4 linked regions of the Drosophila melanogaster genome follow. The protein of the gene in region 3 interacts with the protein of the main gene of each other region in a pairwise test. Each region holds a gene or a part of one and is shown on either strand. Other genes may lie near its edges. The genes, in order: CG2310, santa-maria, CG42288 and rtv.

The links.
Region 1: the proteins of CG42288 (region 3) and CG2310 interact in a two-hybrid assay, tested with the Drosophila melanogaster proteins (one large-scale study listed by BioGRID).
Region 2: the proteins of CG42288 (region 3) and santa-maria interact in a two-hybrid assay, tested with the Drosophila melanogaster proteins (one large-scale study listed by BioGRID).
Region 4: the proteins of CG42288 (region 3) and rtv interact in a two-hybrid assay, tested with the Drosophila melanogaster proteins (one large-scale study listed by BioGRID).

The regions. Positions count from the first base shown.
Region 1 is NT_033777.3:29,489,469-29,496,596, reverse strand, and holds CG2310 (uncharacterized protein), read left to right. Parts: upstream 1-3,078; 5' UTR 3,079-3,347; intron 3,348-3,845; 5' UTR 3,846-3,875; coding exon 3,876-4,201; intron 4,202-4,358; coding exon 4,359-4,426; intron 4,427-4,487; coding exon 4,488-4,849; 3' UTR 4,850-5,073; downstream 5,074-7,128. Other genes in the region: diedel, read right to left, coding at 2,371-2,718; Spase12 (spase 12-subunit), read left to right, coding at 5,559-5,582, 5,641-5,787, 5,844-5,969; CG2006 (uncharacterized protein), read right to left, coding at 6,069-7,052.
Region 2 is NT_033779.5:7,442,328-7,453,157, forward strand, and holds santa-maria (scavenger receptor acting in neural tissue and majority of rhodopsin is absent), read right to left. Parts: upstream 8,918-10,830; 5' UTR 8,622-8,917; exon of another isoform or gene 5,361-8,621; 5' UTR 5,321-5,360; coding exon 5,180-5,320; intron 4,975-5,179; coding exon 4,669-4,974; intron 4,609-4,668; coding exon 4,089-4,608; intron 4,027-4,088; coding exon 3,302-4,026; 3' UTR 3,028-3,301; downstream 1-3,027. Other genes in the region: CG5973 (uncharacterized protein), read left to right, coding at 1,319-1,505, 1,567-1,658, 1,733-1,886, 1,946-2,071, 2,138-2,316, 2,382-2,532, 2,600-2,646; Gr28a (gustatory receptor 28a), read right to left, coding at 10,214-10,333, 10,393-10,830.
Region 3 is NT_033778.4:14,087,197-14,093,243, forward strand, and holds CG42288 (uncharacterized protein), read left to right. Parts: upstream 1-3,834; 5' UTR 3,835-3,912; coding exon 3,913-4,179; intron 4,180-4,251; coding exon 4,252-4,375; intron 4,376-4,439; coding exon 4,440-4,531; 3' UTR 4,532-4,618; downstream 4,619-6,047. Other genes in the region: prosap, read right to left, coding at 4,797-4,964; CG42287 (uncharacterized protein), read left to right, coding at 3,180-3,401, 3,461-3,596, 3,660-3,739.
Region 4 is NC_004354.4:11,149,067-11,155,879, forward strand, and holds rtv (retroactive), read right to left. Parts: upstream 4,925-6,813; 5' UTR 4,827-4,924; intron 4,762-4,826; 5' UTR 4,612-4,761; coding exon 4,551-4,611; intron 4,509-4,550; exon of another isoform or gene 4,422-4,508; intron 4,295-4,421; coding exon 3,900-4,294; 3' UTR 3,418-3,899; downstream 1-3,417. Other genes in the region: Lint-1 (l(3)mbt interacting protein 1), read left to right, coding at 648-785, 859-894, 1,570-3,061, 3,172-3,314; Dlic (dynein light intermediate chain), read left to right, coding at 6,071-6,162. UniProt on the Drosophila melanogaster protein: Required for chitin fiber assembly and organization involved in cuticle formation and tracheal development.

The sequences.
Region 1 (7,128 bases), on a different chromosome or scaffold from region 3:
GCCTGCGAGGCGAGAATATCCGTCGTATCGAGCTACTTTCGCGCTACTGCGAGCCGCATTCCCATCGACGTGCCATCGGAATCTCCAAAGATCCGCCAGGCAGTAGTAGACTCAAGAGAACCCTAGGCTTATTTATAGACCAGCGCCAGTAACGAGAGCACTGCCACATCGCATCACTCAATCACTCTACTTTCGGATGCATCAGCTGTGCTGTTCACGGGCGACGCACCACACCACTCACGCACTCTTTAAGAACAAATAGAACCACTAGAACCACCAGCACCACTCACCCAGCGGTGCACGTGGAGAAACATGCTGATAAAATCCCTGCCAAATCTCTTCCTTTCCTCGTCAGATTCAAAATCATTAGTAAGCTGTATAAAAGTATCTCGAGATATTTTACTATATTTTACTTATATCTAAAAGTATCTGATATTGCTGATAGTATCTACCTTTTGTAGGTTCGGATAACCTATGGATTCATCTTAAGATATTTCTACTTCTTAGATACTTTAAGATGCATCTGAAAATGCTTCTGTTTCCCGAGGAATAACCTTCTGAGCTTTATCCTTTAGCGCCTACTTTAAGATACATTTCCGCACAGCCTGCTTTTGCATATATATATTTAATAGTAATAATAGATTTCGAACCCCTTTTACTTTCTCAGTGCACAATGTTTGTTGCCAAGAATTCTATATATACGCCATCGTTCGTCTGTCTGGCTTTGTTTTGTTTACTACATCTAATATGTATATCTATCTGCACATGTGTATGTTCTATGTACAGGGTACTCACCAGTCGGGTCTTCACCACGCCAGAGTCGTGGAGTCCGATGGCCTGCGAGGAGGTTTGCGCTGCCAAAACATTCCAATTATCCATGGTGGGCACTGCGCTCTAGTTCGCGATTTGGATTGGGATCAGCCGGAAAGCTGAAGGTGTTCGCTGTCTCAGCTGTACAATATGTATGTATGTATGGTCTTGCTGGATCCGTCCGCTTCTATCTATGTATCTATGTATCTATGTATCTAACTAAGGGAGGAGATGTGCCGGCTATACTCGCATGAGATACATTCATTCATGAGCTAAACTATTTCTGCAAGGCTTTCCCAATTAGTCACACTGAATTCTGAGCATTTCAAACTAATTGTTATTTAGAAATTATTAGTTTACAAGCAGCTAAGCTAATTAAATTACCACATTTTGAAGCAAATTAATAGGAAATCTATATTCAGTAGTCTATTAGTTCTGGAAAGTATAAGTATATTAAGTAAGCAAGCGAAAGCAGTTAGTTAAAACTTCGTTTTTACTATGTTATTTACCCATTTGATTAGTTGATCAAACGAAATTGTTAGACACTTTCCGCAAATAAACGAGTGCGAGAAGGAAAGCTTTTAATTAATTAATTAATTGATGCCCGCAGGCGATTAAAATAGCAAATTCACAATTATGCAAACTCAGTGAACACACACACATTGTTCACTTGCGACTTTTGATTTTCGACGAGGATGGGCGTCACATCTGAATTTGTTTCATCCTTCGCCCGGTTTATTAATAGTTTTCCCTCAGCTGGTGGATCTGGTGGAAAAAACTGTTGGGGTTGCAAGTGCAACGTGGAAAGTGCAGTTTCGTAACTTTAGCACTTTCGTTGCAAGTTGAAAAAAAAAACTAGGGAAATTCACTTGGCAAATTCACTTATTCTGTTGCAAATTACTGGCAAATCGGATTGATAAATTCCGGCGAAAATCGACGGATTCTGCGGCTTTACATGGGCGAATGCTCCGCGTTCTCGACGGCTCCACAACTCTGAGAAAACTGAGAAAATCAGGCGTCCGCGGAAAATGGTTTATGCCAAAATTCACTCGGCTAGTTGATCGTACTACATGCGGAGTACATGGCTACATGGGCATCTGGGGATCTGTGGATCTGTGGATATGGAGGGGTTATTCGGGGCGATCTCTGCGAGTGCAGGCGTCATTTGCTTTTCCCATGGCGAGCGGCCAACAGAGGGGCGGTTGCCCAGGGGGCGTGGTCGATCGTTGGGAAACAGATATTACAAATGCTAGAAACTACAAAAAATCACTTCTTATGATTTGAGCACTGGATTTTATTCAAAAATTAGCCCATATCATCTCAGATTTTGATGATAGTTGTTTTTTTTTTAGTATAATAGTTTTAGTTAATAGCGTAATTAATGGAATTCAAGATTAAAAATAAGAATAGTTCCTAGTAATCAGATTGAACTGTTTACATTTGATTAGAAAGTGGGAACCTTATCAATTTCATGCATATATAAAATAAAATACACATAATTAATTAGTAATTTCTGGATGCAATTAAAGCTTCTCTTTATTGTTTATGTGATGCAAGGGGTTAAAATGGCAGCCTGGTGACTTTGATGATCTGGATTCCGTACTGCTGGTTCCTCCTCACAAATTCCTGTGACCAATCGCCGCTCAGACAGCCGCCGTCGCAGTTGCAGCCGAAGATGTTGCACGATCCCTGGCCGCAGTAGGCGCCCAACTGGGCAACACCATCGGCGCAGATCGTCACTTCGCAGCCGTTGGGATAGTTTTCGATTGCACGCACAGCCTCGCAGTCGCCTCTGTCCATCTTGAATTCCACCAGCTCCCGGGAGGTGCAGCATTCCGACCGAGCCACATGGACAAAGGCCAGGGCGCAGATCCCGACGAGAAGCAGGCTGACTACTGGGGATGCCATGATTGGATTTACTGGGAGAACTAATGCTTTTCACCCCGGCAAACAGCGATTTTATACGCTCACAGTGGGTGCAGGGAATTCGCTTAGTTGGCAAATGCGCTCCAAGTTATTAGGAAAATTGATTAGGCCCAGTTCTCGGGAAATTTACTTCTAACATAACTCAAACACATAGTCATGAAATACTGTCTAGTTACTGCGCTTTAGTTTAAATAAAACTTGTAATAATCAAAAATAAAATTTTAAACACAGATCACTTGTAACGGAAATCCCATTTGAATTTTGGTGATCGGCGTTGCCAGACGGCTAAAAGCGTTAGCACTAGCGGCCCGTTCTGATCAGAACGCAGTGGCGAAACGACGGTCGTTCAGTCGTTTCTTCGCCGCTCAACCGTTCGGTCGCTTCTTCGGTCGCCCGCCTATCGATATCGATAAACGTAGGTGTGCCTGCAGTGCGCCTGTGTGCGTGTATGTGTCAGCAGTGCAGTTTTCCTGTTTATCCCTGAATTCTGTGAGAAATGTGATATAGAAACAGCATTAGCGAACAACTAAACGCTTTGCGCAACCGAAATTCAGCTGCTTAAAGGGACATCGAAAGTGGTAGCTGCAAACATTATAGTTTGTTTATATCTGGTACAGTGCGCGTTGCAACCTGTTCTATGTGTGTGTGTTTGGGCAGGTGCGACAGTGTGTGTGTGTGTTAAGGGACGCCCAAAGAGTTGTTGTTGTTGCAAAGTTATCGATTTTAAATTTCAAGAGATGCTCACTATCGTCAAAAAAAGGAGTTTTTTAAACTAATCAGATAAGCTAACAATTGTTAGTAACTTCTTAGAAAAAAGCTTCGTTACAAACTCAAAATTGCTGTTAAATTTGAACAGCTAGTAATAATGTTCTTTCTCCATTTGAGGAAATGTAAAACGAAACCCACAATTGCGTTTAAGCAATCATCTTGAACGAATTGGGCATAATTACAATTAGATGAGCAATTAGAGCGCTCGAAAAGTGGCCAATTAATTAACTTGACTGCCCATTACCATAAGTACTTTAAAGTTGAATTAAGATCAACTTGACCTGGCTGGGGATCAAAGATACCCATATTCTATTCACTATTCACTTGTCCGCTTATTTCAGATACTCCTGCGAGCAGATACCATTCGCACGATGTCGTACTACGCGGAGCGAGCCCTGTCCCTACTCTACCCGCTGGCCATCGTTTCATCGCTGGTCTGCTGCATCACCTCGGCGGTGGCCTGGACACACTGGCAGTACGTGCTCAATGCCTGCCCGGACACCAATTGCGGCTGCGTGCTGCACGGCAAGAGCACGTTCCACAGCTTCGAGGGCGGCAACGTCGCCTACTGCCACTTCGCCACCTACGGCCTGCTGCTGCCGCTGCTCTTCGCCGTCGTCCTGGGCGTCTACCACGGCTACCGCATGTGCATCGGTCGGGGCAAGCCCAAGGCGGGCACGGCCACCATCCGTCAGCGGTAAGAGCGGGCGATCGCGATCGAGTGTCGGCGGGTCAATGGGGTTAATCGGCCAGCCACACTCGTTCGTCTGTCTGGCTATGAGTAATGCCATCATGGGCTCCAACTTGGAGCAGCATCAACTGTTTGCTTACGCCTCTCTGCTCTCTGCTTGCAGCTCCGGTGACATGATCGTGGTGACCACCGAGTCGGAACTCACGCCCGATGGTCTCTCGCCCTACTACTGTGAGTGTCCATCGTCTCCGAACTTAACTATGTACAAATGTGTAATACTTAACTAATTTAGGGCTGCCCGCCACCGTCATCTCGACAATAATGGCCGTCTACCAACTGGTCTACTCGGCCGTGTTCACGGATGGCTTCGAGGTGACTTGCAAGCAGTACAGGGAGTCGCTGCTGAAGGAGATCCAGGGCGTGGGCAACATTGTGCCCGTGATCAAGTCGCGGCTCTCGTGCGCCGCCGTCTTCGACTTCATGGACTATCTGGTGGAGAGCGTGTCGTACGAGCGGCGACGCTACGGGCGCATCAATACGGCCGCCTGCCTGTACTTCACCCTGGTCTTTGCCTGGATCGCACTGCTCGCATGGCTGCTCGTCTGCGTGATCAATGTCGTCCAGCTGCGGCGCACGAAGGCCGCCAGGGTCTGAGTCCTGCCATGAATCGGGAGGCGCGAGGTCCTCTACACTTTACATTCCACCTGTTCGCCTTTTAACTTATTTAGTTAGTTATAGTGACACACAAGCCAGAACGTCCACGTTATGAACGCATTGTACAAATAATATACATATGTATGAACAACGAGCGATTATTCACATCGCAAGCCTTTTCAATAAAATGACTATAATTGCATTAAAGATATGCATGCATACATATATGTAAATGAAGTTAAGTATTTTAAATGGGCTATTAGTTTGCATTAATTGGCGTGGTTTAAAATTATATAAATCATTTAAAGATGCAACATTTTTGCCTTCTATAAACTTATTTTACATATTTTGCATAAGAAAAGGTGAACTGAACTTATTTATTTTGTTTCAAGAGCTTACTCTGCAAAGGAAAACATCATTTAGAGAGTAATAATCTCCGTTTTGTTTGCATATTTTAAATTTAAAATAATAAAACACAATTGAAAGCTACAAACAATTTCGCTATTTTTCAAACACACTTATTTTGAAAAAGAGGGAAATAAGCATGTACAAAAATAATGGGAAATTCACCGAGTTCCAAATTCCAGTATATTCTCATCCCCTTGGCATTTTTCGCTCGGCACGGTCACACCATTCGGCTGCTGACGTGCCGCAAAAGAAAATTGTTTACGCCGAAAATTGTTGAATCGCAGCTTGTGAATTGCACAAAATGTTGGACATCCAGACGCATATGGTAGGTATGCTTCGCAACCATTAGCACATAACACTAACACGGCACTCTACCGCCGCAGGACTTCGCGGGTCAGGGAAAGGCGGAGCGCTGGTCGCGCTTCATCATCACGTTCTTCGGAATTGTGGGCCTCGTCTACGGAGCCTTCGTGCAGCAGTTCTCACAGACCGTGTACATCCTGGGCGCCGGATTTGTGCTCTCCTCGCTGGTGAGTAGCTGTCGTGTTAGTAGCTCCATTGCTAACAGCACGAGATTCCTGCACAGATCACCATTCCACCGTGGCCGCTGTACCGTCGCAATGCGCTCAAATGGCAGAAACCCATCGATACGGACGCCAAGTCGTCGAGCTCCGAGTCCGGCGACGAGGGCAAGAAGAAGAAGAAGCAGTAGAATCAGTGGGATCAGTAGTTAGTTAGGCCAGCAGTTACGTGTACTTCTCACTACATCCAATATAATATATATATATACATATGTATGTCCATTAGAACGCTAGATGGGTCGTCGGTAGGCGATGAGGTCGTTGTGGTCATAGTACTTGTGGATGAGATCGTACATGTGGGCGAAGAAGAAGAGCAGATTGTCGTACTGCCCATTGTAGGGCGCCTCCCTGCCCACATTCTCACTGGCAGCTGTCTTGGTCAGCGGCTCTGCCAGCTGATGGAAGCCCGCGGTGATCTCCAGGTTATCGAGTCCGCGATAGGCGGTGTTCAGGCCCCAGGCATTGATGTGCACCTCCAGGAGGAACTGGTGAATGGCCTCGATGGTGGCCAGATACCAGCGCGGACTGCCGCGCTGGTGGCGCCAGAATTGCGACAGTCGATTCTGCAGCACCACCGTTCGTAGGCCGCGCACCCTGGCGTCCGCGTAGATCCCGCGACTCTGGTTCCATGTGCTGTCTATGAAGACGGCTCGGCGGACGGGCAGGTTGTCTAGCGTCCAGGTTCGTCGCACCGTCTCCGGCTCATCTACCTCCTCCTGCAGCTCCTTTACCTCCACCTCGTCCATTCGCCTGCGCAGCATGGTGCCCATGTGGTGGCCCTTGGGCAGCCCGTAGTTGTCGCCGATCTGAAGCTGCACATTGCGCGCGAAGAGCTGCGGCACCGCAAGCGCAGTGGCGCTTGGGAATATGAGCACTACGCCCGCCTCCTCGCGATAGTCGGGAATGTCCGGAAATGTGTGGATCCTCACGTGCGCCGGCGCCAGAACGGCCGCGTGCACCGCCGAGCTCTTGCCGTCGATTTCCTTTTTGTGCTTAATGATGTCCACTTGGAGCGGCAGCTCCAGACGTGGCAGCAGCTCCTCCAGCTCGCCAACCGGCACACAGCAGCTGTAGCAGAAGAACTTGCGCGATCGGTTGCACAGGCGGCAGTTGTGGCGCCCCTCGATGGTGTCCAGTGCGCTGTGGTCCGCGATGCGCATATGCACGAAGGGGTATTTGCGGCTGCGCTGCGGCGCCTCCAGCGGATGCGTCATTTTAGCGGAAAGTCAACTTTTTAAATTGAAATAACAAATTTCCTATTAAAGTAGCCAATTTGGTTATCGATAACAA
Region 2 (10,830 bases), on a different chromosome or scaffold from region 3:
AGCATAAATTACCCAAGATTCATTGACGAAATTTCTGGAAGCCACGAAAATTAAAAAGCCGCAACGCATTTGCCGGAATGACAAATCTACCTCTATGCTGGCTCCAAGTTTTTCAAGTTTTACGGCTTCAATCTACTATACTATACTAATAATATCAAACAATCTTTGCTCTTGGCCTTGACTTTTACCTTCATTCGCGTTGACCGCACAAAAAAGTCAATATCAAAAAAACGTACTAATTGCTTTGAATCATAAGAGCAGCAGTAAATCAAATTTAATGGCCAACACCGATTTGCACTACTCTGCGGCTCAATCCACCGACCAAGTTCTTTAACTTCTCAACTTCGAGTCCGAATTTTTCTGTGCCATTGTCAAGTCCTTCATGACAGGGCATAGATCACAAGTGCTACGTCATCGAGTCGATTTTGACCAATTTTGTTTTAGCAGCCAAGGTGTTGCCAAGTCGTCTGCGAGCCAAACAGTCGAGACACGTACTTGTTGATATGTATCATACATATAGAGAGATCGAGTGTTCAAAGACTGTTCAAAGACTAAGAAAATCCAACTAATAATAGTTATGTTTTTCTTTGTTCTAAAACGTGTATTTGTTAAAAGTTAATGTTGACTTTATGTAGCTATAAAACTATTATAATGACATACTTATAAAAAAGAACTTAAATTTCAGCACTCAAACTCTTCTTTGCTGGTGCTTTTAATATTTTTACAAATTGATGGCACACTTATACAAATTTAAACATCTAAATAATTTAATTCCGTTAGGATATGACAAGTCTTTAAAAAAATCATGATAAATGACCTAAGAAGTGCAGCAAACGCCCTGACCGAATTTCTATAACCTTTGCGGTGAGGGTATCCAACGATTTTGGCCATCGAACGCACGTTTTGCGACCAGTTTTGGGTGCTATTGTCTATCAGTCTATCTATTTCTATATCTATATATATTTACCCGTTTGTCCGGCGAACTCTTCTTCCGTTGTGGCGGTTTTCGGCGACTTTTGCCTATGAAGATCAGTTTTGAGTCATACATAAACATCGAGGTGTATGTGTATATTTATATATATTAAAACAGTTTCCATTGGAGCGAGGCATTGAACTGTTGCCGCTTTTGCTTTCTGCTTGGGGTTTTGGCCCTGCTGCGGAAGTAACCCAGTTGTGCCAATCGCTTTGAGGAAATGGTTGCCAAACCACTCAAAATGTTTGAGCCGAGACCAAAACAACTTCATTCTCGTTCGCAGCTTGAACCGGTGAACAACTAGCGCCAGATCGCGGCATCCAGATCACACAACATATCCACACCATGGGCAAGGCAGAGTGCATTAGCTACGATGAGCACAAGTTGCCCTACATCGATCTGGGCTCGGCACAGATCCGCATGGAGAAGGAACAAGCGCCGGAATGGGCACTGAAGAAGGCACAGGATGAGTTGCGGGAAGTGCCCGGCGTCAAGGAGCAGGCCATCAAGGAACTCAGGGAACTCATTCAAAGTGGGTGAAAGCACATGCACGTTGGTTAATAAAATTTAAAAAAAAAATTCCAAATTAATAGATGAAAAGTACCTGAACCTGCCATTGGATGATGAGTATATGATGATGTTCCTGCGTCCCACCCATTACTATCCAGAAAGTGCCTTGAAAAGGGTGAGTAATTTGTTGAAACATGCAAGCTTTAAATATATATATTTTTTATTTATTTTCTCTTACATTATGTACAGCTCAAGAACTTTTATCACATGAAATTGAAGTATGGAGCCGCTTGCGAGAACATAATCCCCAGCAAGTTGAGAAACGTTTTCGAGGCAAATATTCTGAATTTGCTGCCCCAAAGAGATCAACACGGCCGTCGGCTTTTGGTGCTGGAAGCTGGCAGTAAGTTTGGCTCTTAAAAACAACTAAAAAAATGTCTATAAATAATTGAATTACTCCAGAAAAATGGAAGCCATCGCAAGTGCCCTTGGTGGATCTATTCCGCGGCATTCAATTGACCGTACTGGGTTCTATGGTGGAGCCCTACTCACAAATTTGCGGCTCAGTTGTCATTATCGATATGGAAGGTAATAAATTCTAGGCAGGAAATACAAATTATACAAGTTACTTAATACATATTAACCATTTTGCAGGGCTGCCACTTAGCCACATTACACAATTTACACCGTCATTTGCCGCCATGTTGCTGGATTACATTCAAGAATGCATCTGCATGCGTTTGAAAGCAGTTCACATAGTGAATAATTCATATATATTCAATATGCTCTTTGCCGTATTCAAGCCATTCATTCGCGAAAAGCTGCGCAAGAGGGTAAGTTTGAATAAGAAATACATGAAATAATGTTAAGTTATATGTAATAAATTCCTATTTGGTAGATCTTCTTCCATGGCAAGGACTACAAGTCCCTGATCTCCCATATTGAGGCGAAGGCTTTGCCTCCGAAATACGGTGGTTCTGCCACATGGGAACTGCCACACGGCAAAGTTTTGGGCGAATTCTTTGAGTGCTATTCCAAGGATTATGAACGTAAGATATTCATAAACAGCAATATCAGGCTTTATATACTAATAAACTTAACTTTTTTTTTTTTTAGTGGCTGACAGCTATGGGTATACTGAGGGGTATAAGATGAAGAAGTAATAGTACAAGGAATAGTCCAAAACTAACCCCCCAAATCCGCACAATCCTCCCTTCCCCCTTTCGATTCGTATTTTAGTCACTTAAGTTGGGTCATTTGTGATATTGCAAATATTGTCGTACGTTAAGTAATAGTCTCTTTGCCCTTTAAATGTAAGGTTAAGAAAATTATTCACAATAATTAAAATGATCACGATACAAGCTCATGAGCTAGGCATTAAAGTGGATACCATATATACTATATATTTTGTATAATTGTTATTGAACTAATAAAGATGAAAAAAATGTTGTTAAAATTCAAAACAAACGTTGTGAGCTGTAATGAAATAAAAATAGTTATGTGCAATCTTACCCACTTAACCTACTAAAATGATAATTTCCTTTGTAGTTGAAGATTTTATTTGACACGAAAGCCATGGGTCAAGAAATCATTTTAATACAAAACATATCTAATAACTAAGGAATGTAAAAAGAGTATTCGTTAGCTAAGCGAAGTCCACCAGACGTTTCGACTTCGAAGGCTATCTAATCTTTGGCATAGGCACGGGAATGCTTGCAATTTTCAGTTGGGTGTTTTAGAGTGTCACTAAACTATGAGCTACGACTAAAGCACTAGGACGGCTTAACTATCTAAATGGCGTGAATGTGGCGGTTCTGTTCAATCCTGCTTATTGTCGCTGATGGCTGTGGATGCAGTGGCCACACTTTCACCCGTCTGGGATTTAATAATGGTTGGCTTACGGCCTTTTTCGAGGAGCGGAGAACTGTCCGGAGATCCTTTGACACTCTTTTCGCACACCAAAGTGGAGGCCTTGGACTTCAGTTCCTCAGCACTGGAGAATTGAGAGCGACTCTTATACTGGCCATTCGTTTTGGTTTTGGTCCTCAGATCGTATCTACGATTTCGACAGGAAGCCAATAGAATCTGAACCGGAGTCCAGCAGAGTAGAGTTATGCCTACGATCAAGCAAATTCCGGCGAATATATGTCCGGAGAGCATGACAATGGGCAGCACCTTCAGTTGATCTGCCATATCTGGAGTGATTCTTACTTTCTGTTCGAACCATACGAGTGGGAAAAATATCCTTGGTATTCCAGTGTATAAGCTAATGCCTTGGATTGGCTCCACGAGCATATTCACTTGAAATCGGGCAGCCACCTCCAGGGGAATACCAGTACTTGGCTGCACAACCATATAAAACTCGTGATCCTTCTGGTTAGGACTCAAGCCCTCTACCTGATCTGGGTAGTAAGGATCGGCGTTGAAAAAGTGTGGATAGGACATAAAAACAGGAGATCCAAAGCGACAGGAACTGATGTTCATCACACCCGACGGAACACATTGGCCACCACAAAAACAAAGGTTCTCAGGATACTGGGTGCCTGAAATATAAATCTCTAATAGAATGGGTACTCACAATTAATCAATTCTTATCAAGACTCACCATTATCTACAGATCGTGGTCCGCCTGAGAATTTATAACCTTCCAGTCCTTCAATATCCACAGTTTCCACATAATCCAGCGGAATAGTTCGGCACATATCGGGCGTAAATAGACCAACACTATCGCCGGGCTTCAGATGCTGTGGCTGGAACTCCCCGGCGGATCCATTGGTCATACCGCAATAGGAATCAAAGAATCCAGTGTTCTCCTGGTAATTCCACGAGTGCATCTGACCCAGTTTGGCCAGTTGATCGGCGCCAGTGAAGACATTAAAAACTCCGGTAAGATCGGCACTTCCATTGCGCGTATAGAACCAACCGAACTTATCGAATGGAACCTTCACCTCATCACCAAAAATGGGCATGGCCATGGCCACGTCGATCATTGCGTCATTGTAACCGGTGAAGAGCAGCTCATCGATCGATTTTTGGACAGACATCTCGGCACCGTACATCTTTAGTCCCACATCGACAAGGGAGCGCTTAACTGGTGGCCAATATTTGGCTGTGGCGGCTGCAGACTGAAATGGAAATGTATAGTTATAGTTATATTATGTAATAAAAGGGAATAGGATACTTACCAGAGCCACTGCATTAAGCGTGGTAATCTCATCGTCCAGGCTGCCATTACTGCCCGCCGCATCAAAGTAGAACAAGCTGCGCCTGCGATAAGTGACGGATGCATTTTCTGGATGCCAGTGAATGTCCACCTTATCGGGTCGCTCGATAAAACGATAAGGACCCACCTGCTCCAGAATGGGCTTTGTGGAAAGGTTGCCGAAATCCTCCGGATTCGTCCAGTTGTACAGGTAGATGTCCAGACTGAGATCAATTGGCGGACTCTTCCAATTTTCATAGACACGTGTGTCGGGGGCCAGAGCCATTTCCTGTCGAAGAACAGAAGCCGCAATTGGTATTAATTGAAAATCTCAACGAGTTTTCCTCGATCTTTGACTCGCGCCAATTGAGAGGCGGCTGTTTTTCTTTTGACTTTCAATTGGCTTTAGCCACTAATCGAATGCAGCTGGCCGGGCTAACACTGGAGTGAAGTGAAATGAACTTAACTGAACCTCTGTCAATGACTGGGATTACCTTGTGCATGATCCAATCGAACAGGTCCACCCAGAACATGCCGCACAATATGCCAAATAGTCCCAGGCAAAAGCCGAAAATGCCGATAATTAATTTGCGATTACTTTTTTGGCCCCACATTGCGCTGTTTTGTGTTGGCATGGCTCACGCTGGGCGATGGTGTGTGGATACCTAATGGTGGCTGTAATGATATGCAAGTCATTGAAACATCAATGAAAATGGATAAATTGATAGTCTATTTGCCAACATATAAAAATGGATCAAATGAAAGAACTCATAAATGTAGTGCAAGTTGAGAATGTACTGATAAGTTTTCTATTATAAAATCATTATGAACAAATCATAATACAATAATTTAAAATATAACTTTACACAATATTATTTTGTGAACTCATGTTCATGTTGCCTACTTTCAGGCAGTGCTAGTTAAAGAATAAAAAAAATGTAGAATCAAATCTCTTATTAACAGATGCATCAAGTCACATATTAATATAAGTATGGCGAACAAAGAAATCAACAAAGAATTGAATACAAATAAAATGCAAAAAGCGCAGCATTTTATTGAGTGACGAATTCCCATAGCGTCTATTTTTATCAATATAATTGAATCAATTTAAGCAAAGCGTGACTTTCAATTGCTGTTTACACTCATGTAGAATATACTAAGTCCGGTAAGTATATGTGTACATATATACAGAACTATAGTCGAATCCCCTATCAGTGGTGATAATTACAAAGCTTCCCCCGACACTCAACGATGATGTGTTTTAATTAGTTATGATAGTTTGAAGCTGCATTGCAAGCAATACGTGTAATTATCCATTTCGTTTACGAATAACATGCATGAATGTGGATAAAATATTTTATGATCGCATTCGGTAGGCGAATTTTCCTATATGGGGCATTCACTGTGGTCCGATAAGCGGATTCTGAACTCTTAGGTAAACAGACCCATGAGGAAGCCACAGACAATTGAGGAAATTGAACTGCACTGCACTTATCGCTTATCGGGAATCCATCCTCTGGCAATTATTTGACCAATCTGCCCAGAGTTCCCATCACCAAACACTATGTATCACTTGAGCATAAATATTGCATATGTACGTACATATGCCACAGGTTCGCATCTCTGTGATATATCGTCATAATTGAGTCTATCAATTGACCCCGCAGTGAGCTATGGTTGGGTCTTTGACACTTTGCGTTATTGCACATGAATACGAGTAGGAATCTATATATATATATACACATATATACATATATATATGCTTATTTGGGAGCGTGTCAGTTGTGTTCTGGTTGGTGTCTGGTAAATTGATATGATTATGTCTTTTGAATGATGAATAGCTGTCGAGCATTTGTCGGCGCCTTTTTATTGTCTTCACAATTAATCTGAAGTGAGTTTTAATTGAAATGGACGTTGGACAGGTGCATCACGTAGAGTTCATCCCGCATTTTTCGCTTAATTCAATTAGATCAAGAGCAATACCGCACATAACGAGGATAGATTTTGAATGGAAATCTAAGAGATTTTAGCAGGAATATCTCTTTTTGTGAGAAAATATTTATAGCAAGATACGTTTTTTTTTCAGTGCAGTTCTTTGATATTCGCTCTTGAAGCTCGAAGCCGCAACACTGAATAATTGCGTTTAATTAAGCTTAAATTTTAGTGACCGGTATATTTGATTCATTATTAAATTAGGCATGCTCTTGTCATACTCTCTGGTTCTTGATCTTCTATATTAACATTTTTATGAATGCTCCGAACGCTTTATTCATATTCTATGCAAATGCACCGAGAACACTGAACTCTGAAGTGATGCCACATCGAAAGTGAATGCATTCTGAAACATTCTAGCAAGAATTATCTGCCTTTTTGGCGTTAACTTCCTGAGTGCAAGTGCACTTGATATGAAACGGAAATTCTAAGTACTAAGTCAGACGCAGTAAACCCGATACTTTAAGATCGTCTACTGGATGTGAGACAAGTCAACACCTTCTCAGTTTTTCCTGATGTTTTTCAACCCCATTTAACCACAAAGGCTGCCATTGAGATAAACCGCAACTTACAGATTTGACGCAGTTCGCAAATTCACATATGCTTGGGCGAGTATTTTTTGATAACGAGCTATCGGCATGTAATTGAGTTTTCGCAGCCTTCAAGTACGAAAATACACACGACGATTTAAAAAAAAGCCAACAACTATAAATAAAGAGCGAAAGGCTAAACCGTAAATAGGCTTGGTACTTTTAAAGGTCCCTGAACTGCAGAAAGTTATTTTGTTTCTTTTTAATGAACTTTAAATCAAAAAATTTCTTTAAATGCCACTTTTACGTAGCCAAGATTTCAGTATTAACTAAAGTTGTTTAAGCCCTTTGAGATTTTAATTAATTCATTGTGAATTGATTAATTGATTTGACTTTAATTGTCCAGCATGAGTTGAATTCTTAAACGAAACTTTAATGAACATGCTATTAGGGGCTAGTTTCGATTATCTTGAACTATATTTAAACGGGTCCCATGAGTAATTTGCCAACGAACAGCTGTATTTATTGAGGATTCGCCAATCTGGGCATTGATTATTCAATTAGCGAATAGCTGGAAAATGAATGTGAAGTTTCTTTGGCTCTTTATTGCATACAATAAAGAAAATTTAAATAAATATTTTAATTTGCAATTTTTAAGACATTCGTTGGTTTTCTATTAGAGTATTTACATTATTTGTTTTTCAGATATTTATTATCTTATAAAGGCACACGCAACTGCAATTAGTTGGGAGCAAGTTGATATTTAATTATCTTGAACTTTAAATGGTTAACAGGTCGCATACGCAATGTGTTTTGTACACCACTGTTTTGTTTTTTATTTATATACCAAATAAGATCAGCTGCCGTTCTTTTGCAGAAAATTCCAAAACATATACTAGATTTTTTTATTTTTTCATTATAATTTATCATCGCCCAATTTCGTTTTATGTAAAAATACAAGCTACAAAACATAATTCGTCAACGGGGCGCATGCTTAATATTTTCCTGAGCAGCTGTTTTCCCTGGGACTAATTTTAGACCATTAATCGCACAATCAACAGGTCGCCTCGTAGTCCAAGCTGGAAGCCCTTTGTTTTGCATTCCGGCACTCTTATTTCTTCAAAAGGGAGACGACACACAAAGCCAGTATAAACACAAAAAGAATGTATAATATAGATTGCCACTGTACATACATATATATTTGGTTTTCTGTCTGGCGACTATTTTTCATTCTTGTCGAGTTAATTTCATTTAATGACCTGTAATCTTAATAAGTCTGCCGGCGATTAAGCCAAATCAAGCCAAAACGTAATGTGTTAACAAAGCAGGAAGCGCTAAGAAATTACGTGATATTGCGAAAGGAGTTTTCTTTTGTCTTTCCAAATTTCCTTTATTTTCTTTTAAAGGCACTCACTTGACTTTTATTTGCTAAATAGAAACAAATCACAGGCTCCTCGGTTTTTTTTTTACGTTTTGATTTTCCTTGCGAGGAAATTGAAATTCGATAAGGATGTGGACAGAACGCTTGAGCACGTGGATGATTTCTTTGCACAGAGGCCGGAAAAGTGGACACGAGTCCCTGGGAAATGCCGTAAAATGGTACCGCTTCGCCCGGCGGCTTCGATGCGACTGTGCGGCGGACTCTCAGCGAACGGACCGCGAGCAGAGCGGAGCGGTCTCGGCGGCCGATGAATGTCAGTCAAGTGCGGCACATGGAAATGGAAATGTATATGGAATTGGGCTTGAGAAGAGCTCCGAGTATCCGAGCAACGGTGTGTATGTGTGTGTGCGAGTGGGTGTTTGGGTTAATTTGCGCTTTGGGCTTTTCATAGTTGTGCCATTGAATTTTGAATTAAACAATATACAATCTGAAACGCGAGTACGACTTTAAAACTGTAGAATGCATCCAAGGGAAGAAGTAGTCAGAAACAACAGTGTCACCATCTTTATATAAATTTTTGGAAATAATCTAAATTGAACCATTTGCTTTGTTAAATACGTTTACAAATATTTTAGTTTCTTATATATATATTTTTTAAATATTTACATCTAATAAATATCAAATGATATAAAAATGAAATGAATGAACTGAAAGAGTCAACATATTTTCTATTGTTCAGTCGAATAGCAAATATAACTGGGTCACATTTCAAAAAATCACAATCAGCGAAAGAAATTCCTATGCACTTAGATTTCATAAAACTGCGAATTTTCGCATACGAATCGGGTGGCTTGTGGAAAAGTAAACAAATCGTAAAGTAGAAATCCGAATTGATAACAAATTGTCGAAGCCTTATCAATGCGGCTAATCGTGATGATTAGCACTGGGTGAACAGCGAACATTCACGACTAACCCCACACACTTGTAAGCTGCGAAAATCGACAAGCGATCAGAGCAAAGTTTCAACTGTTTTTTTGTTTTATTTCGCTATCATAGGGGCACAACTCCCCAGCAAATGGCATAGAAAACACCCATGGATTGCAGTCTGAGGCAATAAAACAATAAAATGTCATTGCTTCAGTGCGTATTCAGGCTGGCTTCCTTATTGGATTAGTCTTTTGCCTCCTTTCACATGGCGTGCTAACTGGGATTAGCTATCAGTTGTGGCCAAAAGTCAGTTACCGCTGCAGATTATGTTGCAATGTTGTGAAGTGGAGCAAGCAGAAGTGGGTCAAGCCAGCCCTTAGCTTCGAAATGGGTCTCGGCCAGCATTATCCATTTGAATTCATTAGTGAAATTCAAGCAGCTCATGTCAGCCAGCAACACAGTCAGTGACGTAGCAACCAGCTTGTTGTTGTCGATTGGCTTACGTTACGTGAATACGTAACGTACTGATTAAGTGCAATTGAAATGTTTACTTGCTTTAAATATTATATCATAACTTAAAAAATACGGATAAAAAATGTAATTTACTGCGAGCTGGAAAACTTTAATTTATTTTTCATCTGTACGTTAGGACACTTTATGTTTAAATTTAATTGATTAATGTGTATATATAATTTTAATCAATCGCCGAGATGAATGGAATGTAAATTATTTGTTGAATTGGAGCTGGTGTCGTCCATGTGATGTGTGAATCGAAACTGAATTAGGATAATGAGGTAGCACGTGGCAGCACCAGTAATCTGCAAAAATTAACCACTTAAATAAATAAAATATTTAATTATTTTCAACATTAGTTCACCGTAAAAATCAGTGTGCGATCCAGACGAAAAAGTCCTGCGGCTGTGAAAAGGACCTTCCGATGCGACAGCTGCAAGGACAGACGGAAAAGTCGATCTCTGAGTTCTGGATCATCGGTGATATTGAGAATCTTGTGAACTATAGCTGCCGTATAGCTGCTATGCAAAATAGTCCGACTGCTGCCCTCCACGATCAGCACTATGATCACTATATACCAGATGAGCTGCATCAGGAAGAAGGCAAAGAACTCATCGGCCTCAAAGACATCCAGTCGTTTGGGATTCAGAATGGCTTCCAAAATGTAAAAGTCATCAAAGAGAATGAACAGAAAGGATATGGCTATGATTCCGAGCAGCGGATATGTGAAGTATTCCTCGATGGTCTGGCAAATGTCGCAGAGCAGATTGTGTATGTTGGACACCTGTTTGATTGCGTATTC
Region 3 (6,047 bases):
CAAATACAGATATAGACGCAGATGATGGGTCCTGCAACTGGGTCTCTATGCCACTTTAGCCGATGGAAGGGGCGAGCAAAAGGGGCTGCCAAAGTCGCTGAAATGATGTCGTGCGTGCGCAAACTATGCGGCGTCATTAAATCTAACGAGCGTCTAGAGATTGGATGGGCCAAGAAGTACTCGGGGTTTTCCATACAGTATTTTGCACAGACAAGTGCTCGGCGAAATGACTACATTTGGAAAATTTTTGGAGGCAGCGCCAAAAGTTTTCACAGTAATTCCAACGAAAGACAACTCCATGCCACTTGTGATTTGAAACTACACATTAACTTGGCCTAATTGAGCCATTTCCCATTAACCGAAACCTAACCTAATTGCCATTGTGGCTTTCTGGGCAGTTTTACTGCCAGATTTATGGCGTTTATTCTGTCGGAAAATGCCTTCAATTGATTAAAGTTGCGGCGTTCGTAAGTAACGAGCTTTAAAGCGAACATATCTCTTTTAGTGAGCACACATATACGCTTTCGCTGACCACATTCGCTCACTTGGCTAAAAGCAATTCTTTCGCCTTTTTTTTTTTTGCCTCGTGCACTTCGGGTTATCCTGTCTGTCTGGCTGACTGCCTATCCTTCCTTTTTGGAAAGTTAAGAGCCTTCGATTTGAAATCCCCTTTGAAACGAGCTCAGTTCTTGGCTGATTTATTGTGCGAATTTGCGCGCACTTTATCCAACTTGCTTAAAGTTTTAGTTATGCCAAAGTTTTGCAAATAAAATTTAAGATAAACTTTGTGTAAGTCTTGACTACGCCCTATACTTAAGGTAGGTATTTGAAGTACTTTGAAGTATATTAAACAAGTATTTATGGATGTGCTTCTTAAACTCAAGATAATTATAGAACAGTTGGAATATTTTCAATTACCATTACATGTGGCTCACTTATCGTAATTCCATTCAAAACGTTCCCTACACGTATTTTCCATTGCCACCTTAGACCACAAAAAAAAATAAAATGAGCCACCGAGTAGTCCATATGCGGCTAAGCTTTCCTTACTGGTTTCTTATCGCCACGAGCCAAAGTTGTTTATTAACCAACCTGAACTTCGGGCCAAACAAAGCCCGTTGAATATTACACGCAAAACGACTTAGACACAACAAACCGGTAAGTAACGCCCACCCAGAAATTGAAGAAAAATCCATTGAATACAGATCAGAGAAGCTTTAATTTCGTTTTGATTAGCAGGCGGAAGTTGAGATGCCAGTGGGGCTAACACTCAACGGCGAACTGTAGCAGCGACATATTGGCGAAGTGACTGATTGTCCGACTGACTGACTGACAGACAGACAGATTGACTGATTGATGGTGTGAAGTTTCACTGAAGCTTGGCATGAGCAGCGCGGATCGGTCATTGAAAGCGAATTCCTCACCAGACCCAATAATACATTTATGGAACCCGACGCCATCGTCAGGTGTCCCGATAATGGGCGACGACGACCGATAAAATGGGAAATTATACAGGCACTCTCGTTTGTCTCTTCGGGATTTACTCAACCATTCCTCAGTTATCGAAGGCTCACAAATGGTTGAGCAAAAAGTGCAAAGAAAGAGGCCTCAATTGGAGTGCAAATATTTGTGCGATGATAGCATGAATTGTATTCTTTATGACGGTCTATATAGGGTTCTATGTTCGGTCGCAAGAGAAACCATGCGATAAGATATGCGGCCAGTTTACTGATTGATATACGACTGTGGGGAAGCAGGAAATTTGTTGGTAACCTGCTATGCTTTCAGGTGGAATAAGTAAAGGGAATATGCTAGATTTCCCAAACCAATGGATTAAGTTATTCCAATGATGTCATATTCTTTAGTTTGCAGCATGAACAACTTAATTAGCCCTTGCTATCTTTCAACAAAACACAAACAACATGCTTCCATAAACTTTAATCGCAATTCACATTGCATGCTTATGTAACTCAGGATATTATTCCCCACAAACAAATATCCCCAAAAAATGGTTAAAGCACGCTCAGCTTTCGGTTCCCACACAACCGATCAGAATTTACAACATAATTTACTAAGCTGCACGCTGACAGTGGAACCAGAGCGGCCACGCCCCCTTGCCAAAAAGCCAAAAACAAGGCAATGTCTGTCACTTGACGCGCTGAATTTGAATTGGCCGAAACGAAAACGGAACCGGCACGAAAGACCCGGCCATGCAATTAGCTGGAGGTCATTGTGTTCGGTTCAGCGAAGTTCATTTCAGTTCAGTTCAGTTCAGTTCGATTCGAATCGATACCAGTGTGATTTCAAATCCAGTTCGGTTTCAGTTTGGGTATCGCCCAGAGTTTCCGTTTGCAATTTTGCGGTTTCAATATTGAATTGGGCGAGGCCCCCGCATTGCATTTACGCTTGACAATGTTTCGACAGCAATTTGCTCAACAAATTGCGATTAAATGTATACAATTGATTGACCATTGTTTGGCTTTCATTAGCACAAAGGAGCGGGGAAGTGCCTTTCATTCGGTGAGTAATTTGACGGCATTATAAGGGCAAATAACCGCTGATCTTGACCCCCTGACCACGCATTTACTCATATTTCAAACTAAGTAACATATGTGAATATGTTAACACGTAGTTCTCCTAATCTGTTGGCCATTGAAAAACTAACCTTCCTTGTGACTGACACTTTTTTTTTGCCTCCCCTTGACAGACTGCCATTCAATTGTCAAATATCTTTGGATCTGCAGCGTCACGATTTCCAACTGGGCGCACGACCTCAGACATTGCAGTTGCCGATAAATTGCATTGAACTTCAAAAATTGAAACTTCACGAGGGCCATTTGGCAGCCATTCGAGGGCGGCTGAGGGGGCGTGGTCGTTTTTATGTTGTAAGGGCACGTGTCAGCCTTTGGCTGCATAAAAATTTCAATCAACAACATCTGTTGAAAAATTGCATTGCGATTCCACAGTAATTGGTTTTTTGTGTGATTCAATGCAAAATGCATTTAGTTTGATTGTGAATTTGTGTCTTTTAAGGATTTTGATCCTTAATCTTAGTGCAAGATTATTATTGATTCAAATATTAAATAACTAACGCAAAAATTTTACGATCAACTGTTCCTTGCATTCTGTTGTTTTGGGCGAAATTCATGTAAAAAAAAATCACAAATTTCTGTAGCGGCATGTTTTTTAAAAAGTGCTGCTTTTTCCTGCCCCTCAACGTGGGTTGCATAATCATTGGAGCCATCTTCATAACATTTCACGTTGGGGAGCTGATAACGCATTCGGATGACACCATTTTCATCAAGCAAGTGTCCCACAAATGGTGGGCACCCGTCATCATGTCTCCGATCCTGACAATTGGAACTCTGAGCTCTATACTCCTTGTGTATGCTGCTTCGAAGGTAAGAGATTCAATTGGTTTCTTTCAAGATTCTAATGCTTTATAACATTACAAATGCAGAGCAAGCGAGGCTTTGTCCTTATGTGGATTATCATCTATGCAATTATACTATCCCTATATTTCCTAATGGCCGTTGTCCAGTTGGCCAGGTCGAAACCTTCGCCGATTATATTGGCCGTTCAGGTGTTCATCATAGGTGGGTGTTGGCCATTTTTGATTGAATATGTCTGAATAATGTCTTGATTTTCATACCCCCTAGTTGGTCTCGTTTATTCCCTGCTAATAGTGCTGGCTTTTTATCGATATTTGAGCAGTGTGGATTCTGACGATTCAATTTGATGAGTTGTAAAATAAATGTTAAACTAACGTGTAACTGAATTTAACTGATCTAGTTTACTTCTTTCAGTGTGTCCCTTTTATACAAACTAGATTTTCAACAAATTTCAGTTTCTCAGGAAAGCTTTGAAAATTGTTGTTTAAAACTTGCAGTGCGGCTGAGGATCGGATCAATCATGGCCTGTCGCTGCAAATATCTGAAGCAGATCTTTACCAAGTGCTGCTACTGCTATTCCCTGCGTTTCGGTGTGCTGCTCTTCGGATGCATTTTTCTAACCTGGTTCATTTACATCACCATCGGCACCGGCTTCATGATGGAGTGCATCTTTCCGAACGAGTATCAGAGGTCCCTTATCCCAGCACCGGCGGCCCTCAAGGCCACCATGGTCTTCTCCTTCTTCGGCATCATAGTTTCGGCCATGCTCTGCCTGGGAGTGCACAATGTATGTGATCTGTCTATTATAAATATTCCCAATATATTTAGCATATGCTTATAATACCTCATAATTTTGTAGAACAACGAGATGCTCTTCCTGCCATTTTTGGTTTTCACACCCATTTGGATAATTGTGCACATTTTTGCCCTGACCGTTTACAGCTTTAATACCATCATCATCATCCTGACTGTCATCACAATGTGTGGGTACCCCCAATAATCATGAATCTAAAGCCTAAATTAAGTATACTATTTAATGTTTTATAGTACTTTTAGTGTATGCCTGGCTGGTGGTTTGGTCCTACTACATAGAACTGCTCTTCGCCTACGAAGATGAACTGGAAACCGGTTATGTGTAATAATAGTAATAATAATGATATTTACAAATTTTAGTATGTTGAGCAAGCATTTGATGTGCCTAATAAAATAATGCATGTAGGATACAGAAATACAGATCATAATTTCGCTTGAGCAGAACTCCATACTATGTGAAGTAGACCCCATTTCGGATGTACATATTTCTCCCCGTTTAGTGAGTATTTAGCGCACATGAGACATGCCCGTGCTCTATATACACCGAAAAGACAATGGGTATCGCAGTGGTAATGACAGTGACCGACTTACCTTCGGCAGCGAGGCGAGCACCTGCTGCTTGACATCCCAAACGAGCCGCTCCGATGGGAACTGCAGACACTTGTAGACATTCAGCTCCGGCACATGGATGCGCACCAGTAGCCATCCGTCCCGCGGCTCCGGCGGCGGCTCATCGTCAAACGCACCCGACCCGGACATGGCGTCCGTATTGGCCGGGTTCTGTTTGACTTTGGGCGTGGGTGGGTGGTATGTCGTAATTTTGACGGCTTTCTATCGCACGGTCCACGAAAAAAAAACGAAGCTACTCCCGCTCCACTGGGAGATCTCCTTCTAGCCGTTCTATTCGCTTAATTTGCTCTTTCCTTATTTGGTTGCACTTCAAAGTGATTTGCCTTTGGGCGTGATGAGCTACTAAGTTAATTTATCTAACTTTTTATTGCCAATCTATTTGGCTTTCTTTTACGGCCTTCTGCTGTTGGAATCCGTTTTGTTTGGACATTTCGCTGTGCTGCGTTCGTTGAGTCTGGCGCATGATGGTTCTGAAATGAATCAAATTAGAGGTATAAGAATAAAATATATTATAATGTATAATATTTCCTTTCCGAATCATAATGCATTACCCAATGAAGCTATTAATTTTCACTCCACTTTCATATGCACTAAATATTTTCGCATAAATTTAGTACACATATGCAAATTGCAATCCATTAAAAGCCTGCTCAAGTCCAGACAACAACATAAAATAGTTTCCCCAGCACTTAATTTTTAAATTGGTTTACTTTTCGAAACTGTCCACTGCACTTTTCCTACGCACTTGATGATATCAGTCAGACGGCAATTGGCCCGATTTTCCGAGCCCCTTTTCATGTCTGCAGGCCTATCTAATAGGAAAAACAAATTGTCAGAGTGAAAAGAAAACACTTGGGCTGCCGCAAACATTTCTCGTTGATGATTACAATTTGATATTGACATTTTATGGCTGCAGCACTGCAATGGCAGTTGCAATTGCAATTATGCACAAATTAAATTCACACGCTAGCTGGAAAGGAGGAGGTGCCACACGGTGGGTGGAGGATTGGAGGCATGTAAATGTGTGCCAAAGACCCGCTGACAGTTGTCGCTTTTGTGTTGGGGAGGAGGAAGGGGGGGGGGGGCGGAAAATGGAGCGGAAAAGCGGGCGGAGCGGGACATGTCGAGGCAACTGGAACTGTGGGCGGAACGGGTTAGCCACCAACTGCAGCAACAACCACATCTGCAAGTCTGCACTTTGTCGCATTTAAT
Region 4 (6,813 bases), on a different chromosome or scaffold from region 3:
TACATAAGCCTATAAGCACGGCATTCCGGAACACGCTCTGTCAACAACACCAAACATAAATGACTTTCATGGGTACTTTTTTGTATAGGCTTGTTCATATTTTGACCCATAAAAAAAAAAAAAATAATAAAAAACTTTCCAATGTTCAAAAATTTCACCGTTCCGCCATCGACTCTAACTCATCGACGCTAATTTGATGGTCTTGCGTGCATTTTGGAACACTAAATAACGAAAAATTAATTTTTAAAAAACTTCCCCATGTTCAAAAATTCCACCGTTCCGTCATCGAAGTTATTGACGCACATCGTCCTTATTTCTCCAAATTCATAATTAAACGCATATTAAGATTAAAAATTCGCTACGAGAACGAGCACATGTATTCATCTATCTGGCAACGCCACCAGTTGATGCAACACATTTTTATCTTAAATTGCGAAGTTCCTCGGCCAGATATCAGTTACGAATGTAGTGATCAATCTATCACATTTTCTAACCACATTCGGTTTCAATTCCCACCCCACTCCCTTTCGAAAATTTGCCCAAAATTCCCACAAGTGCATCAATTGCAACGCATCCGAAATCAGTCGCGTGCGTGATTCGTACGATAACCGTCGTTATATATATAGCGTCAATATAATCGGAACAAGATGAGCAAGTACCATAAGGAGCGCAAGTACGCCAAGTTCAGGTACTACATGGAGAAGTACTACGTGCTGCCGCTGGAGCTGAAGAACGACATCATCTACTGCCAGCGATCGCTGCGCGATTTCCTCAAGGTTCACGCGGTAAGTGCACCATGGCTCCTTGGCGAACACCAGTTAATTTGTTTCCTTTGTCTCTGTTCTCTCACTTACGCAGTTGGTCTCGGAGGTCTTCGATGAGCAGGCGGATGCGGTGGGTTTAATGCCAGAAGACTGCAAGTCTTTGTCCTTTGTTCTCTACGCCACGAGAATTCCCGATTCCCCAGGGTGAAGGTGTTCGCCCGTAGAACACCACCCAACCCCCCTCCCACTACACACAACCAAAAAAAAAACCAAAACAAAGAACTGTATGTAGATGAAGCTATGAAACGTAGTACTTAGTTTAGTTTTTTCATTTCAAAGAAACTGATGTACTCGCGATAATTTTCTAGAGTTGGGTTAGAAACATGAAAGAGGCAACTGCGTTTTAAGCAAAACTAATAATGCACAAAAATTGGGTCAAATGTTTTCATTTCCAAAGGAACCACGTTCGCATCTCTGAATTTTTTCGAAATTACTTTCACTTTTTTTTGAAAAGAAGACATATGAGAATTATGTATATGACGAAATCCATCATCTATATGAGCAAATATTGCTGATTTCTTAACAGCATTAATGCGCATATTCTTTAATGCCGCTTTATTTCAATATTTTTCCAACGTGCATCCTTATCCATCAATCTCAACCTCATTTGTGATTGAAATGTATTCCCTTTTTTGCTCAGTGCTTGTGGTCATTAGCGTTTTTAATGGCCATTAGCACCTGTGCAGCTTCCACCTAACAATCCCAGCCACACCTAATGTGACACTCACGTTCTTGTCGTCATTAGGATCCAGTGCAGATGCGTCGCATCTTGGACGAACTGGAGGAGGAGGTGTACGAGATCAATGCCGAGCAGCAGTTCCTTCTGCTACGCCTCAACGATAGCCTACAGGAATTCTCCGTGAAGCTGAAGGAGAACAACATCATGTTCCTGCCGGACATCGCCCATGAGTACGTTTCCGCCCAGGTAGTGCCTTTGATCGTCGATCCCAACTATAAGATTATGCCACAGTCGGTGATGGCTCGTGATACCGAGGAGATGCTTATTCGCAAGCACTTCCTGCTGAGCCAGGACGATGATTCTGGTATGCCGCCGCTTAAGCTCAGCGAATTGGATGAGAATATACCATTGATGCTGGCTCCGCCGGTTAGGGGATTGGGTCAGCAGATCGCCGCCGTTAAGCCGGAGCCAGAGTGGCTCCAAGGCGATGAGGCGACAGTATCAGTGCCACCGCCGCCGCCACAATCGAAGTCGAAGCTGATGAAAGGGTCGCTGGATTCGACCCCGGCCAAGCGAGAGAATATCAGCCGCAGCTCACCGCCGCCCTTGGCGCCTATAACCCAAACCGTAGTGGCTGAGTTGTCACAAGTACCTCCATCACCACAAGCAGAATCTCCACCAGTAAACTTTCACGTTGTGGCCCAGAGTCGCAAGAACTTGCAGCAGGCATTGAGAAGGGCCAGAAAGACGAAGCAGCAGCCACGTTTGTTCGACGACGAGGAGGACCTGGAGATCACCAGTTTGCAGAACGATCGCAACAAGAACAGAACCAGCGATGGCAAGGGGACACCGCCATCGCTGGAGCCAACGAATGCTGCCGCCAATCAGGCAGCCAAGAAGACCATCCCACAAATGTCTAGTCAGGGGATGGCGAAGAATAATACCGCGAAGAGCAAAAACACGTGCAGGAAATCCTCGCCAACGCCCACATCCAGTGGACAGTCGCAGCCAGCGGTATCGTCATCCGGCAGCTCCGATGATTCCAGTGCCGAGCTGCAGCAGGAGCAGCAAAGACGCGTCGCATCCGCCGCCCAGTGGCGCGATGAGCCGCGCGAGAGCCGCACCCAGCCGGAGGAGTACGGCCAGGAGACGTTCCTCGGCCTCTTTGAGCTCTACTCGCCGGAGGTGCTCAAGAAGCTCAGTCAGCGCCACTCGAAGCGCAAGCGTCGCACCGTTCAGAATGCCAGCGGAGTGGATTTTCACTATGGCCAGCAGTTGAATGCCGTGGACGCGTTAGTCATGGGCGTTCGTGGTCAGAAGAAGACCAAGGAGAAGTCCGAATTCCTGCTCTCGCCGACGGAAAAACGTTTGCAGGCCAACTCGAAGAGGACGTACACACGCAAGAGCAAGTCGCCGGACGAGATTTCGGAGAAGAGCAGCGCAGGAGGAGGATCTGGCGCATCGGGAACTGCGTCTTCATCAGCCTGTCAGCATAAAGACGGCGGTGCCTCCAAGTGCCGCAAATGCCGCGAGTGCCGTGAATGCAAACGTCGTGTGGGTGAGTCATCCACCAACCACAAACTTGTTGAGTTGGTTTTCTTAAATTCGTATTACCCATTTAATGATTTTATTAATATTTTATTGTTTTGCTTGTTTTTTTTTTCCCAGAAACCGAAGCGATGTACTGCCACTTGTGCAGCGGATTATACCACATGGACTGCCACGAGTTCACCAAAAATCGCCAGCTGATGCAGCTGCAGAACTCTCGCTGCCCCCCATGCTTGCGCGAAAAAGATAAGTTGGAGAAGTAGTGCGTTGCCAAGTGAGCCATTGATGTTAAATGTTTCTCATTCTTGCATAAAGGATTGTATATATTTGAATCAACCCTAGTTGGTATGCTGAGTTCGTGTTTTTATATTAAAATTTATTATTACTTAAATGATTATATGATTATATAAATGATTATTATATTCTTATTTTATAAATATACTAATTAAAACGAATGGATATTCTATTTGCAAACAAAGAGAATGGTGTTACGCAGCAGGAGTGATTTAATTAGGTATATGAATAATATTCATATTGTTTCTTTTTCGCAAACAATCGAGTCTGTTCCACTGATAGCTGATTGACCCGAAGTCGGGATCTATGCCATATATAGCCATAATCAATGGTTACATATTGAATGTAAGTACCTTATTTGCGATCGGAAAAATGATACGAAAAAATGCACGAGTAAACGGCAATAAAATCTTAAGCAGAGCAAGAACATTCGATTTTAAGTAATAACAAAAAATTGTTTGTATTTATCGAACTGTTGATATTACATTGAGTGTTGCTGAGTATTGGAAGATGTATATACACATTGCCGGCTAAGAGCACAGAAAGCAAACAGTCTAGTTTCGCATCCGCTGGAGCAGCCAGGAGCCGAGCAGCGGCAGCATGGTGATGAGGATCATCTGGGGTGCACTGGACCAGCTCCTCGCGCCGTTGCACAGGTCGCCCTGGCAGAAGCACATGTACACCTTCTTATAGTTGTAGATGGTGTCCGCACAGCGATCCATGTTGTCGTCCGGACCGCGCTGCACGCACATCCGCTGGATGGCCAGGTCGTAGTCGTCGATGGCATAGGTGCCGCCGCCCTCGATCACCTTGCCGCACCAGCCGCTGGCGCACGGGATGGCCGCCACTCCCGGTTCCTGCTCCACGTCCGTTGCATTGAAGGTGAAGGGGTCCTTGCAGCTGCCCAGTTCGCCACGGGATCGGCACTGATAGCAGCGGCGCAGAAGGCCTACAATTGAAAGTTCAAATATTTAAAATTTAAAACATGGTTTTACTGAGCGTTTAAATCTAAAAGTGAATTAAAAATGAAAATTTTAAATAATATGCAAATGGAACAATTAAGCAAATAACAATACAACGGAAAAAGTTAGTTTTTAATTTGATTTCGCCGTTTTCCCCATGTGAAAATCGAATTATATCTCTCTCACACACACACAACACATATGCAACTTAAACAAAAGACTTCAACGAGAACACGAACTCACCATCGATTGAAACCAGACTTATGAGAAAAATCACAGCCAGTAAAAGGCTCGTAAATTGCATGGTCCCGTCTTCTTATTTCGCCTACTAACTAGTCAATAATGATAATAATGAATAATAGTAAATATATGTAAATGTTAAGTCAAGGAAGTTTAATCGTGAATTAGTGTTACCAGGCGCTGGAATTCCAGCGAATCCAAAAGGTAAAAAGCTCTGCAAAAATAAATAAATACGTTATTTAATATAAATATATGTATATACATATATACAAAAATTACAATTTTATCAACGATTAATTATTTCAAAAATATATTCCAAAATAATGCTAGCTAGATTAATTTATCGATAGTATCGATACTATTGCATGCTTGCATAAGTAAATGCTAGAATTTTAGTAGATACCAGAAATAGTAGCTTTGCCACAGCGCCATCTGCTGGAAATGCGATCAAAGTTCACAATGAGATTAAAGCGACATCTATGAGCAGCGTCAAATCGTTATTGGAATATTTACTTTTTAATTATTAGTTACTCGTTATTCGAAGTAATTTAACGGGTATCTGATAGTCAGTACCTCCACTAAAGCGTTCCCTCTTGCTATCATTTTACCAGCCATATAAATAAATAAACGCCGGGAGAAAAGTACAAAAAGAAATACAGAATAGTTACAAAAGTGATTGTTGTGGGAACGGTATTTCCCGCACCTGCTAGTGCCAAGTGTGACCATACCCGGGTCACCATTTGGTATCGGTATTTTTTGCAGTATTTTTACACGAATAATTGGTGCGAAAGGAAAAGCAAAGCAAAGCAGAAGTGAAGAAGAAGAGCAGTGAAGAGGAGAGGCAGTCAGATTCGACGACGCAACGGCGCTGAAAAAACTCCAGTGGAAACGCACACGAACGCGGCTCTTCTCCACATAAATATACATTATATTATTTAAGTTTGCCTTGTCTAATTGAAACGATCGAAAGGCTGTCCAGCGGAGAGGACGTGCGTGAAAATCCAGGGCGCGAGTTTTCACTGGAGAGGAGAGCGAAGAGCGTGAGAAACTGCGTACGTAGGAAACGGAATAAAAAAAGTGGGCAATCAGAAAGGAGGAAAGAAAGAAAATAGAGTGAGCGAGAGAGATAGATTGAGTAGAAGAGGAAATTTTGCGAATTTGTCAGCAGCTGTGCGTCGTAACTAAAGCAACAGAATTGGAAGTGAGAGTGGGTGGGAGAGAGAGCGTGGTGACAAATGCATAGAGAATTAAACAAAAATAATACAAGTGCGCAGCCTTGCAGTAAAATTATTTAAATAGACTGCTAAATCATATGCAGCCGACACCTGGCAGCCGTCTCGCTCTGTCGCGCATGTGTTTGTTTTTGTTTGCCAACTGTTTCTCATCTTCCCTCTCTTCCACTCTCCCTCTCTCTCTTTAGCACTCTCTGTTGCAGCGCCAGCACATCCCGTTTCCCAATTGGACCCAGCCAGGAGTGGAGAGCGTTCCAATAGGAGCACCGCAGCTGCAGCACCAACAACAACATGGCGATGAACAGTGGGACGCAAACGAATGCGCTGACATCATCCTTTACCATGAAGAAAAAGGATGCGGCCGCGGAAAAGGAGAACCTATGGTGAGTGCAATTGCAGTAGTAGCGACTACTTCAGCAAGTAAACCTCCCAAAAAGGGAACACAACCCCAATTGACATATGCGTAATCCCCCAAAATGCAAGCACCAAGATAACTCAAGATATAAGATCAGTTACCAAAAAAACAGAAACTATAGAACAAATAAGTAGGTAGGTAGTTCGAGGTGGAAAAATATGAAATTTGAACCATTATTGTAATAATACTTAACTTTCAGAGCATGTAACTCTGTACATTACAATATGATATCGACAAATAACTACCCAATATGCAAAGTGCAATAAAATTTAATCTCAAACGAGAGAATCTGAGAAGATAAACAAAAACAAAGTTCGGAGAGGGCGCTCCATACTTCTCTTCAATTTGTTGATAACTTTCTTTTAAAATGACGTTCGCTAGTTGCTTTTTGCCACCACTACTACTACTATTACTATCTTCAACTTGTGCCCGTTGGTAACTAATACTACTCAATTTTTCGTCTTACACTTTGTAATTTGCTTTCCGATAGCCGGCAACTCCCATTTTTTTTATTCTATTTTTTGGAGCCGCAAACCAGCTGATTTCATTGGCATGTTGTCATTTCTTTTTCTACCAATATTCCTCTACTTAACCTCAAATGTTGCAAAAAAGAGATTTG